Linked DNA regions of Nothobranchius furzeri. The protein of the gene in region 3 interacts with the protein of the main gene of each other region in a biochemical or structural test. Links are inferred from orthologs where the notes say so. Each region holds a gene or a part of one and is shown on either strand. Other genes may lie near its edges.

Region 1 (4,073 bases), on a different chromosome or scaffold from region 3:
GGATTTTCCGTTGGCTGATGAAAGCTTAACACTAGAATGTTCTACGCATGCTCTGTGTGTGCGCGTGTTTTCGCTAGAGCTAGGGTAGGCTAACCGGCCCAGCTAGTAATTTTGCAAGTCATGGAGGGCCATTTAATGAGGAAAGGCTGGATAAAGCTTTAACAGCAACCTCAGTGGAACTGCTAATGAAACCAGGCTTGATGAAGGGTTTAAGATCATTATGAACGTGCGGCCATGAAGACACAGCTGCTAAGTTTGGCGTAAGTATGAATTAAGATGTTTTATTTAAATTATCGCGTGCGTTTATATATGGTCCCTAGTGTTTCATGGTAACACTCCCATCAGTGGGTATAATTAAAGTAGTATTTGTGGTTTAGTTGCTGGATACATTTTGTTGACCGTACAAGTTACTTTTAAAAGGAGCCGGATGGTTAAGTTAGATAGCAGCAAACTAGCTCGCAGGGCTAGCATAGTAGGGTTTGACTTGCATTTGATTGTGTCTCTAAATCCCGCCTGTGCTTGTTTCGTACTGGCGGAGACGGGCTGGAGTCATGTGACGTCGCTACCATTGAAGCCTGTAATTGGCTGAGCTATGTGTCGATCGTGTATTCACCACTTGTTGCTAGGGAGATTGTTTGATATCCTCGGGGGCGAAAGTAAATATTAGCAGGCGCACCTGTCACTTTTTGAGCTAAGCAGAGATGCGAGACTATAACTTAATGCTGCGGCCCGTCTCCTCATTGTTACTTCATGTTGATGAAGATGGTGTGTATACATATATATGTATAATTGTAGGCGGCTTGTAAACTATGAGGTAGCTAACAGCTATCGTGGTTAGGACAAAGATAGGCGCAGCTGTGCTTGAGGAGGGAGGGACCCAGCCTGCCGCCTATCAGCTATCTGTGGTGCGAGCCAGAGCCAGTCCAGCGAGCTTTCTCGACTCCCATTCACCTTCAGCAGCATCCACCAGAAGTAGTTGTCCTGTCAAGGGTGGGGTGATGCATTGCTCTGTTTTTATCATGTCTGCTCTGCGGAATATCCAAGAATGAAGAGGCACTACGTTGTTACTTCGTTTCTCCTGTCTTGGAACGATGAAGTGGTTTCAGTGGGCGAGCAAGTCCTGCTTTCTTTTTTCTTTAATTTACATGGTTTAATGTGAATGTAGGTAGCATCGAATCGCGAGTTTAAAGTAAAATGACTGTTCAGTGTGAGCTGATGTAGATTGTAACGTTTACATTCTTGTTTTCTTCTCAGAAACTGGAAAATGAGAACCTTATGAGGAACATACCCTGAGAAGTGGAACCTGATTTTGGATCTTAAACTCCTCTCAAACTTACTTTTGAAGACCCCTTTGCCCTCCTCAGTCACTTTTATGTTTGTATTTCTGTTTCCCTCTTTTAGTGTTAGCAAAGATTTATTGATCAAAGAAAGTTGGCCCAATTTTCATTTTTATCTTTTGCTTTTATTTTTTGTTCCGTTGTAAAGAAATGCTTTACCTGAAAAAGTACTTCACAGAGGGCCTGATTCAGTTCACCATCCTTCTGAGTCTCATTGGGGTGCGGGTGGACGTTGACAGCTATCTCAGCAATCAGTTGCCCCCATTAAGAGAGATCATCCTGGGGCCTAGCTCAGCCTACACCCAGACACAGTTTCACAACCTCCGCAACACGCTGGACGGTTATGGGATCCATCCAAAGAGTGTGGACCTGGACCATTTTTTCACTACCCGACGGCTGCTAAACGAGGTGCGCCAGCTGGATCGCCTCTCTGTGCCCAGTACTGAGCTCAACACCTGGCTGGTGCATCGTGACTCTGAGTCTGTAGTATCTGCCAGCAGTCAGTCCAGCTCCAGCATAACCCTGGACAATGGGGCCGGCTTAGAGGACATTAACAACATTGAAGTTACCCCGGCCATGAGGGGAGGAGGTGGAGCACCTGAATCTACATACAACTTGAATGCAGCCGACAGCGGCCTGGGAGCTGGGGCCCCAGAAGAAAACCAGGAGCAGGGCAACAGAAATGGCAACGACGACCTCACCAAAGAGGTACATCTTGATGTTTGTAGCTTCTCTCTGAAGAGCATTGGTAAGCTAGAAGGAAGGCAGTGGTATGTCTGTCACTGCAGGCCAAGCACACTTGTTATGACTGATTTAGAGAAATAAAAATATTTTATGTAAGTGACACCATTTAGAGTTGAAGTTCACTTCCAAGGTAAACAATAGCTTAAAATGTCACAAACCCTAAATGATCATAAATTGTTAATTCAGATGAAATCATTTATGGTCCACACCCCTGGTCTCTTTTGTTTTTTTTTCCTTCTATTGGTGTCAGATATTTTTAGTCAAACCAGTTGAGTCACATTCATCTCAGCTGGGCACATTTACTGTCCAAAAGGGTGGAACTTTAAAACGCTCAGCTCAAAGGTTGTTCAAATTAATGTTATTGCTGTTCACACACAAAATGGCCAAATGGACAGTTTGGTGTCACACAAAGTCACATGTTCATTTATTTTTGATCACATGATGACCACCATGCCAAAGTGTTTATATCATGGTGGCGTCATCTGATTTGTGTTTCGTGATCTGTTCCTATGAGATTATTTCAGCTCTGAGGAAAAATACAAAAGTACTCTATCTGAGCTTTCTCCTGACCAAAAATAAGTAACTCAGTTTGTTTGTAACAAAGATTTTGGACTTTATTCAAGAGTGATTTGGTTTTCCTAACAACATCTCTTTTCTTAAGTGTATAGGGTGGTTTTCTAGTCATTCTTGTGTCTTTTTCAGGACATTGACTTGATTGACATCCTATGGCGACAGGACATTGACCTTGGTGCAGGAAGAGAAGTGTTCAGCTACACCAACCGTCAGAAGGAGACCGAGGAAGAGAAGTCCAACCCTCAAGAGGACAAAGATGGAAAAGAGGAACAGGAGAGCTGGAGGAATGGCGTAAATTTACAGGGAGCTAAGCCGGTAGACGGGGAGACGGGAGAGAGCATACAAGAGCAGGTTTGTTGGGACTAAACACATCCTTATGGGCTCAAGAATTATTATAATGATGTGGAATTATTTCCAGTTAGTTAGTGGGTTTCAGTGGAAACATTTAGCTGAACATTTGTATCAAATGTGTATAGATAGCTTTTTTTATGATTGCATCAACCAAGGATTTATTTATTTTTCCCAAGAAAGAAAATACTCCTGAACTTACGAGATCCAAGCAAGTTTAAATTGTGTCTTTAGGTACATTTTTACTGCTTAAGTACCGCCCCCTACCAGGGCAGTTCCCTGGGGTAAATAGTGGAAATACAGAAAACTCCCCAGGTTTCCAAAGCGGTAACCTGCCTTCTCAGTTTGTTTCTATTTTGTGTTTGTCTATGAAAAAAGCCAAAGAGAAGGCATGATGCAGAGTTTAGCACTAATTTTTAAAGAATGTATGGCCGCATAGCTGAACATTATTTTTGAGTTGACTAAATGCTAGTCAGCTGTAGATGTACATCCAGTGATTGATTCACTTCTGTGCAGTGGTACATGAGACATCGTCCTGATGAACACACAGACAAAAGAATTATCAGCCACCTTTCAGCAGCAGGTGTCATTGTTTTCATCTCATCGTAAACCAGCCTGTTCTTCAGCTTAAAAAGACTCAAACACTGCCTCATGAAGCAATTTCAAAGACCTTCTTGCATAATAGTTTGAAATTTCATTCCTACACATGCATCCTTGTGATGCAGCTGATGATGCAGATTTAGAGTTTAGATGGTTGCTGAGACAAGTTCTTAATTTGTAAGGAAAAGCGAAAAGCACAAGAACAGGTTTTATTTTCATTTTTATTATTTGAGGTTCGTCGGGTACCCCTGTAGCATGTTGCGCGTTCTTTCTGTTGCCAGCTGCCAGGTCTTGGCTCACAGACTTCACTGTCACTACAGGAGTGCTTGAGACTGTTGGAGGCCACGTTCCCATTTGGAGAAGAAGCCGAGGTAAGATTGGAACGTCTGCAGATGTGTGCTTTGTAAGCGTTACTGTGGATTTAACCTTTTTGGTGTGTTTAATTAGTTCCCAGTTCCGGTTGTTAACCCA
Region 2 (4,217 bases), on a different chromosome or scaffold from region 3:
TACTAAACTGCACGAGACTGACCCTTGTTTTTCTGTTAGCAAAATGTCTCGTAGACCACTGAGTGGATTTTTAGTTTCTGTCCAGGATGGTGACCATGGCTAAGCAACATAAGCAATCACAAAATGAGTATACCTCCGTCATGTTTTACAGATTTTACATGTTCATGTGGCAGCAGCTGAGAGTCACAACACGTACCATGAATAGTAACTGATTGTGTGAAATCTTGTGATTTTGCATGAGGTTGCATAAAAAGATATGTTCAAGATTCAACCAAAATGGCTAAAACTCATTCAATCGTTTCTCAACACATTTTAAACTTTAAAAGAATGAATCATGTTTAATATTTTGGGGACGAGCTGTTCCAGTTATCTCTTATGCTACAAATCAAATTAATACCCATTCATTTGTCAAACTTAACCTCCTGGGACCCAAACTTGTATTTGGTTTGACTTAAAAGAAAAAAAAACATATCTAGCTATTACAGATTAGTTGACTGTAACACAAAAGTATATTTTTAAATTAAAGTCGATATAAAGTGTCTATAAATAATAACAAAAGGGTCTAAGTAGAAGAGAATAAAAAAGTACAAGGAGCCAATGTCCATATAAGTGGACACAGGGCCCTAGGAGGTTAAAATAAGTATGCTCCTATTTTCTGAAAGCTGTGGCACAACAGGCCAGTTTACCAGATCACACAGCTGTTGTGAGGTAACATCACATTATTTCAGATCAGGGCGACGAGGGGATTTTTTGTGGGGGGTTTTAATGGTCACTATGTAAGACACGCTCCCTGTCATTCTTCTCCCTGCTCCTCTGTCTCACTTGGTGGTTGCTCTGCCAGATAGAGGAACAATGTGGTCTTTCTTACCTGTCGGAGGGTGTACATTCCATCTCTGCTAAACTACGTCTCAATCCTGCCTCCAACAGGGCCCTCACTGCTGCAATGCTGGCTCTGACTCCAGGTGCTCCACATCCCACTCATACCTTTCATTTGGAGGGATACTGTTCTCTTACTTCGGACAGAGGCAACCATGTGGCTGGTTTTCACTCCGGTTTTAGGTGGTTTATTCGCTCCATTTAGGTTTATGTTACAAAGTTAGGCGTCAAAATTGCTTAAGTTTGCTTCAGGTTTGTAAACACCGACCTACTTCATTGTGGACTGACACAATGGTTGCTGTGGTTTGTGCCAGACTGTTGGTTTGTGGTTTGTCGTGAGGGCAAAAGGGAAATTTGGAGGTTGGGGTGAACGTTCTCTATTAAGGATACAAGAGAAAAAAAGAGCTGGTGTGGGTGCTTTACAGGAAGGTTACGTTTGTCTGCACAGAGCCATCCCATTTATTCTGGTGGATGAGTGTGCAAGCTAACACAGAGAGCTACAGATGAATAAGAGACCTGAGAGGCCTCATTTACCTCGTCTGATCTCTGACAACAGCTCTCACTGCTTTCCTTGTTCTCGCCTCAGGACTGTGCTTCACGTCTCTCTTTTCTCTTTCTCATGAGGATGATGAAGATGCTGCTCAGGTATGTTTGCTTTGGTATTTTTGACTTTAATGATATTTTTCTTTCTAGCTGTGAGTTTATGCAGAAACTTTATCATTTTTTATTTTTTAAACTGAAGCAACTCATGACACTTGATGCAATAATGTGACTGTAGAGTTTGATCCATTTAAAATATAAAATGTCAAGTTACTATTACTTATGAACAGTGAAATGTCATGAGATTTTCTTTACAGGTCAAAATTAAAATGTTCCCAATAAAACCATTCAGCCTTACCAGATTAATGTTACTGGTGATGAGTAGAAGTAGAATCACTGCTGAATATTTGACAACCTACATAAAGCTGCCATAAATAATACAAATTTAAAATACATGTGTAATTAATACATTTTCATGTTTTAGACATTTGACAAAATAATAAACAACAAGGACATGAGACAGTGTTATTAGTTCCTTAGAAATTATGATCCATGTTACAAATTAAATAACTGGTGTGTTTTAGTAAAATCAATATAACCATAATGAGAATTTTAAAAAAGAAATAAACACATTTCTCTAATTAGCAGATGCAAAATGGGTCCTGTACAGGTGGAATCTAATTTTTAGCCAAAACAATACATGCATGTCATCTTATTCCCTGTAATTTAATATTCAGACATAATCCAAAAATAGATTTAAATAATAAGCATCATTAAATTTTTCTATTAATAAAACCAAATAAAAGTAGGAGTTATGTTTTACGCCATAAACAACATAAGAAAATAGGTTTAATATTTTGTGTGGTTTTTGGGCTGCACTGTGGTGCAATGGTTGGAGCCTTGCAGCGAGAAGGTCCTGGGTTCGCGTCCCGGTCTGGGATCGTTCTGCATGGAGTTTGAGTGTTCTCCCTGTGCATGCGTGGGTTCTCTCCGGGTACTCCGGCTTCCTCCCACAGTCCAAAAGTATGACTGTTAGGTTAATTGGTCTGTCTAAATTGTCCTTAGGTGTGAGTGTGTGTGATTGTTTGTCCTGTGTGTCTCTGTGTTGACCTGCGATGGACTGGCTCTCTGTCCAGGGTGTACCCCCCCACCTGATTGCCCATTGACCGCTGGAGATAGGCACCAGCTACCCCCCCCCCCCCCCCCCCACACACACACACACACACACACACACCCACACCCACACACCCACACACGGCCGTGGACAAAGCGGGTTCAGACAATGAATGGATGGATGGATTTTGTGTGTTTTTTATAAATGAACAAATGGCACACATGTAAGCAATCGGGTTTTATTAGCAATATGTTACCATATTTCGAAAAACCCATATGGTTTTTGTTTGACGCTCTAGAAATGTTGATTATGTATTCAGTTTAGGTGAGTTTTCTTGCAAATTGTGCAACTCACAAAATAGTTTTGCATTTGTTTTCTGTTAGTTGTGTTCTGTTTGAAGAGACTCAGTAGATAAATGTCGCTGGAACATTCTGAGTTTAAATTCCCTAAATGTGACAGATTGTGCTCATCTGCATAGTAAACCACAATCTGCATAAATTTATGATAACTGCATTTTATGGGGGGGACGCAAAACATTAGATTCTAACTGGCTTAATTAAAAAACCTACAAATTACAGCCCACTTAAATTTCCCAAACAGTCATCTGTCCTTAGTTTGTCTCTTAGAGCACGCTGTTTTCCCACAGATTGTCTTATCAGGGCTTGGCATAGCTGCACCCTGGAACAGCTGATGGGAGGAGTCAATTCAACTGAAGTAAACCTTTTACCAGCTCCAAAAAGCCATCACTGCTACGAAACTGTCTCTCATTTAACTCCAGCAAGTAAAAAAAACATGCCATTTCTCAGAGACGTGTGCGTGAAGGTTTCTGACTTAACAGGGCTGAGTGACAAGGACTTTTGTGTCTCCGCCAGGTTGAGTTTTTGAAGCAAATCCATCTCCTGAATGTGTTCAGCAGCCAACTATGTTCTCCCCTTGAGGAGAACCTGTGAGGTAGGTCTGCGAGGAACGTCAGATCAAGCCTCAAACAACAATGTGTTTCTTGTTTGTTTATTTTTCTAACTATAAGGAGGTAGCTGCTCCAGGCAGGCTGTGTGGAGGAGTGTCCATCCACGCTAATTTAACTGGAGTCAGGCCACATGGCGCTCCACAGGACTCAGACATGGATGTGGCTTGGCAGGAGCTAATGGCCATCACAGAGTTACAGGTAAAGTCTATAAATAACTTAAAGTTTCATTTATTATTATTATTCAGCAAAAGATTCAACGAGTTAATAATAAGTTATATAATTCATATAATCTGATAACTTTATTATGTTTGTAATACGAAATAGGGAGTAAATCATTCTTTGATTGATGTTAAATAAGAAATATTAAAGTAATATTTAAAAGTAATGAACAAAATGGAACATTTACATGCCAAATGCACAAATTATGTATTTTAGACAAACACATTATGAGAAAAATAAGTTTTTGCTTTTTCTTGATAACTAGATGCTTTATTTTAGGCATTCTATCACTTTAAAGCAAATAATAATGGCAATAATCATAATAACATAAATTTACCCCAACGCAATAATGCAGATTAATAGATTCTATGCATTTTGACTGATTTTTAAGCAAACTGCAGTGTGCTTTAAGTAGTTTTTGTCCGTGAAAGTGACAGAATAAAATTGTTCCTAAATGCACTCCATAAATGACAATTTATTCCATTCATAATTTTGCATATA
Region 3 (4,027 bases):
ATGTAGCCACAGCTGCCCTGGGGCGCACTGACAGAGGCAAGGATGCCGAGCACAGGCGCCACCAGTCCCTCCGACCACCACCAGCAGGCAAGGTGGGTTAAGTGTCTTGCCCAAGGACACAACAGCAGAATCCTCTGCAACCTTCCGATTACTGGACAACCCGCTCAACCTGTTGAGCTACTGCTGCCCTAACACAACTTGAGCTGGACTGTGACCAAACTTAGCCTCACATAAACAGTACAATTGCACAAACAAAATAATTACACAAAATATTCAAATGGGGGTCATGTTCTCTAGCCTTTAACATTAACTGGTTCCCCACACTCTCCCCCACAAAATAAATGTCGTCCCAACAAAGCAAAAAACTCTGGAGCGGCTGATTCCTCAGCTGGTATGGAGGTAGGTTTGGAAGATAAGTCTCTGGAAATATTTTCTGTAGTATACAGTCTTTAACATGGCACTCATCTGCTATGTCACATCATGTTGTAAAGGCAGACATTACTGGCCAGGTGATATCTGCAAGGAGGATACTCTGCTATATCTGCAGGTCAGTATACCAGACTGTAAAGTTTAACTCAAAACTTAACATAACCGAACGTCATAACCAAGTGTAACACTAATAACACTAAATACGCACGCTCTTGGTATCAAAATGTGTCTTTAAAGAGCAAGTCAACCCCTACCAGAGTCTAACTCCACTCCCACTTCATGTTTGAAAAATGCAACACATACTGTTGCCTGGCAGACCGAGAGGGCGAAGCCGCTAACAAATACACACGCACTCAGGCTCACGACAGCAATGTGACATCATAATGTACCAGTTTACGTCATAGCATACTTCTTAGCCAATAGCAGTGGCAGATTTAAATTAGAATACAGTGCAGAGTTTTTACCTGACAACGGCACAACACTGCCAGTTTTAGGCAGAATATTTAAATTTTAACTAAGATGCACTGAAGTGCCAAATTATTGACGAAACGTGTCTGCAGCACGATTAGACACTCATTTATTTAGTTTAGCAGCAAAAAAAAATGTTTATTTGGGGATGACTTGCTCTTTAAAATTCCCGGACATCATAAGTGAAATCCATGGCACAAAACAAGCAGAATTAGAAAACAGCGTTTTTAGCCCCATTGACTTGCATTCATGTTTTCATTCTTCCGGGGACCCGTGACGCAGAAGTGACTTCCTTATATGGTATGGTGCTGTCGTGCCTCTGGCCACTCCGCCCCATGCTACAAGCTACAGCCAAGTATAGGCGAGCTGCTGCAGCTGCGTGTAAAACGTTGAGAAACAGTTTTTTTGATGTGGGTATCACCATCCCGCGTCCCGGAGGTGATTTCCTATTTCGAGGAATTGCTTGTTGCCGCGGTTTACAGTAGGCAGGTAGAGCATGGGGATGTCCTCACTTGGTGTTTTTTGCAGGCGTGGAGTTTTCCACTTTGACAAGTATCAGGCACCGAGAGGTTGAGTCGTGGAATGTCAACAAGCATGTAAACCTCTGCAGGCGGCTTCTGCGAGACGTCGGTGTGCTGCCGTCTGTTTTGTCAGCCTTATTTTTATTTCTTCTTTTTTTTCGGTGGCTTGTCAACTCATGAGCATCTTGCTGTTGGTCGAACAGGCTGCTTCATCACCGCGAGTCGAGCCAGCGGCTTAACAAGACCAGGTTGGTTGTTGCTGATGTTCTTTCTTCTGATCCAAGACGAACATGCATGGATTGTTAAAATCGAACATTGTTTCGTTTATGTGAATGCTTTGATTTGATCGTCCTGAAAATAGCTTTTCGACCAGTTCATGTTGAATTGCTTTTAACCTAAGTGACTTTTCATTTAGTTAAAACCTGACAATGGTAGTCAAACATATTTTTTTTTGGGGGGGGGGGGGGGATGTCACAGCCGGTGAGCCCGAGAGAGATGTTGAATTTCAAAGCCCCCAAAAAGCGATATGTATTATTATTTTTTTTTTTATCATGCTGCATCATCACAGTGACGGATTTAGACATTCTGAGAACCCACCCCGAAATATGGCACCACCGGACAAAGGTCTGCTCGCCTGATAAGGGTCGATGCTCATCTCCAACCCTCCGTTAATATGGAGGATGGATCGAAATAGTTCTTTTGTCAAGACCGCCATGCCCATATGTCTATTGGATGATCAACATTTAGCTGAGAATGTGTGTTTTGTTGCAGCGCTGTCACGATAAACAGACACGACTGATTGTGCGTGTGTGTGTGCGTGTGTGTGCGTGTGTGTGCGTGCGTGCGTGCGCGCGAGAACAACGATTGTAAAATTGCCATGATTTGACTCACGCGATGACTGGATGGTCACATTTTGTCATGTATAGGCTAATTCCTGAATGTAAAGAATAAAACAAGCACATGACCTGACAAGCAGTTCACATGCCTTCAGTTTTTGCTGAACAGTGTGCTTCCTTTCATATGACAATGACAATTTAACAGTTTGTCATCGACTTGACAGCTGCTTTTGTCTTCCTGTGTGTGACATTATGATATTTGCATCAGAAGCTTGGCTTTGTGATAAAGCGTACTGCCCATCTCTGTCTTTCTCTGCAGCTAACAAGTAAAGATGATGGCCCTTTATATGCACAAAAAGAACGCAGATGTGGAATTAGTCCAGTATTTGATGGGAAATTACATTTAGAAAAATTCCAGTCTGGTTTTAAGCCAGTCCACAGTACAGAATCTGCAATGCTCTGGGTTTTTAATTACATTTATTGGCAACTGATTCTGGGGACTTTATTTTGATATTGTTGGACCTATCGGCTGCATTCGATACTGTTGATCAGTCTCTCCTGATTTCTAGGATGGAAGACTTTGTGGGTGTTTGCAGGGTCGCGCTGGATTGGTTTGTGTCGCACGTGGCTGACAGAACCTTCAGTGTCTCATTGGGAGATTCTACAGGTCCTTCTCAAAAAATTAGCATATTGTGATGAAGTTCATTATTTTCAGTAATGTACTGATAAATATTAGACTTTCATATATATTAGATTCATTGCACAAAACTGAAGTAGTTCAAGCCTTTTATTGTTTCTAATATTGATGATTTTGGCATACAGCTCATGAAAACCCAAAATTCCTATCTAAAAAATTAGCATATTAGCATCTAAAAAATTTCATCCGACCAATAAAAGAAAAGTGTTTTAATACAAAAAAAGTCAACTTTCAGATAATATGTTCAGTTATGCACTCAATACTTGGTCGGGAATCCTTTTGCAGAAATGACTACTTCAATGCGGCGTGGCATGGAGGCAATCAGCCTGTGGCACTGCTGAGGTGTTATGGAGGCCCAGGATGCTTCGATAGTGGCCTTAAGCTCATCCAGAGTGTTGGGTCTTGAGTCTCTCAACTTTCTTCACAATATCCTACAGAATCTCTATGGGGTTCAGGTCAGGAGAGTTGGCAGACCAATTGAGCACAGTAATACCATGGTCAGTTAACCATTCACCAGTGGTTTTGGCACTGTGAGCAGGTGCCAGGTTGTGCTGAAAAATGAAATCTTCATCTCCATAAAGCTTTTCAGCAGATGGAAGCATGAAGTGCTCCAAAATCTTCTGATAGCTAGCTGCATTGACCCTGCCCTTGATAAAGCACAGTGGACCAACACCAGCAGCTGACATGGCACCCCAGACCATCACTGACTGTGGGTACTTGACACTGGACTTCAGGCATTTTGGCATTTCCCTCTGCCCAGTCTTCCTCCATACTCTGGCACCGTGATTTCCGAATGACATGCAAAATTTGCTTTCATCTGAAAAAAGTACTTTGGACCACTGAGCAACAATTCAGTGCTGCTTCTCTGTAGCCCAGGTCAGGCGCTTTGCCACTGTTTCTGGTTCAAAAGTGGCTTGACCTGGGGAATGTGGCACCTGTAGCCCATTTCCTGCACATGCCTGTACACGGTGGCTCTGGATGTTTCTACTCCAGACTCAGTCCACTGCTTCTGCAGGTCTCCCAAGGTCTGGAATCTGTCCTTCTCCACAATCTTCCTCAGGGTCCGGTCACCTTTT

The links.
Region 1: the proteins of mafga (region 3) and nfe2l1b form a complex in vitro, tested with the Homo sapiens proteins (2 studies listed by BioGRID and IntAct, with this or other methods). The link is inferred for Nothobranchius furzeri from reciprocal best matches to the Homo sapiens genes MAFG and NFE2L1.
Region 2: the proteins of mafga (region 3) and nfe2 form a complex in vitro, tested with the Homo sapiens proteins (2 studies listed by BioGRID and IntAct, with this or other methods). The link is inferred for Nothobranchius furzeri from reciprocal best matches to the Homo sapiens genes MAFG and NFE2.

What each region holds. Positions count from the first base shown.
Region 1 is NC_091756.1:50,109,400-50,113,472, forward strand, and holds the start of nfe2l1b (endoplasmic reticulum membrane sensor NFE2L1b), read left to right. Parts: upstream 1-1,264; 5' UTR 1,265-1,487; coding exon 1,488-2,045; intron 2,046-2,783; coding exon 2,784-3,005; intron 3,006-3,883; coding exon 3,884-3,973; intron 3,974-4,049; coding exon 4,050-4,073.
Region 2 is NC_091755.1:25,762,750-25,766,966, forward strand, and holds the start of nfe2 (transcription factor NF-E2 45 kDa subunit), read left to right. Parts: upstream 1-1,408; 5' UTR 1,409-1,521; intron 1,522-3,273; exon of another isoform or gene 3,274-3,311; intron 3,312-3,402; 5' UTR 3,403-3,433; coding exon 3,434-3,481; intron 3,482-3,557; coding exon 3,558-3,695; intron 3,696-4,217. UniProt on the Homo sapiens protein: Component of the NF-E2 complex essential for regulating erythroid and megakaryocytic maturation and differentiation. Binds to the hypersensitive site 2 (HS2) of the beta-globin control region (LCR).
Region 3 is NC_091752.1:59,016,524-59,020,550, forward strand, and holds the start of mafga (v-maf avian musculoaponeurotic fibrosarcoma oncogene homolog Ga), read left to right. Parts: upstream 1-1,227; 5' UTR 1,228-1,666; intron 1,667-4,027. UniProt on the Homo sapiens protein: Since they lack a putative transactivation domain, the small Mafs behave as transcriptional repressors when they dimerize among themselves.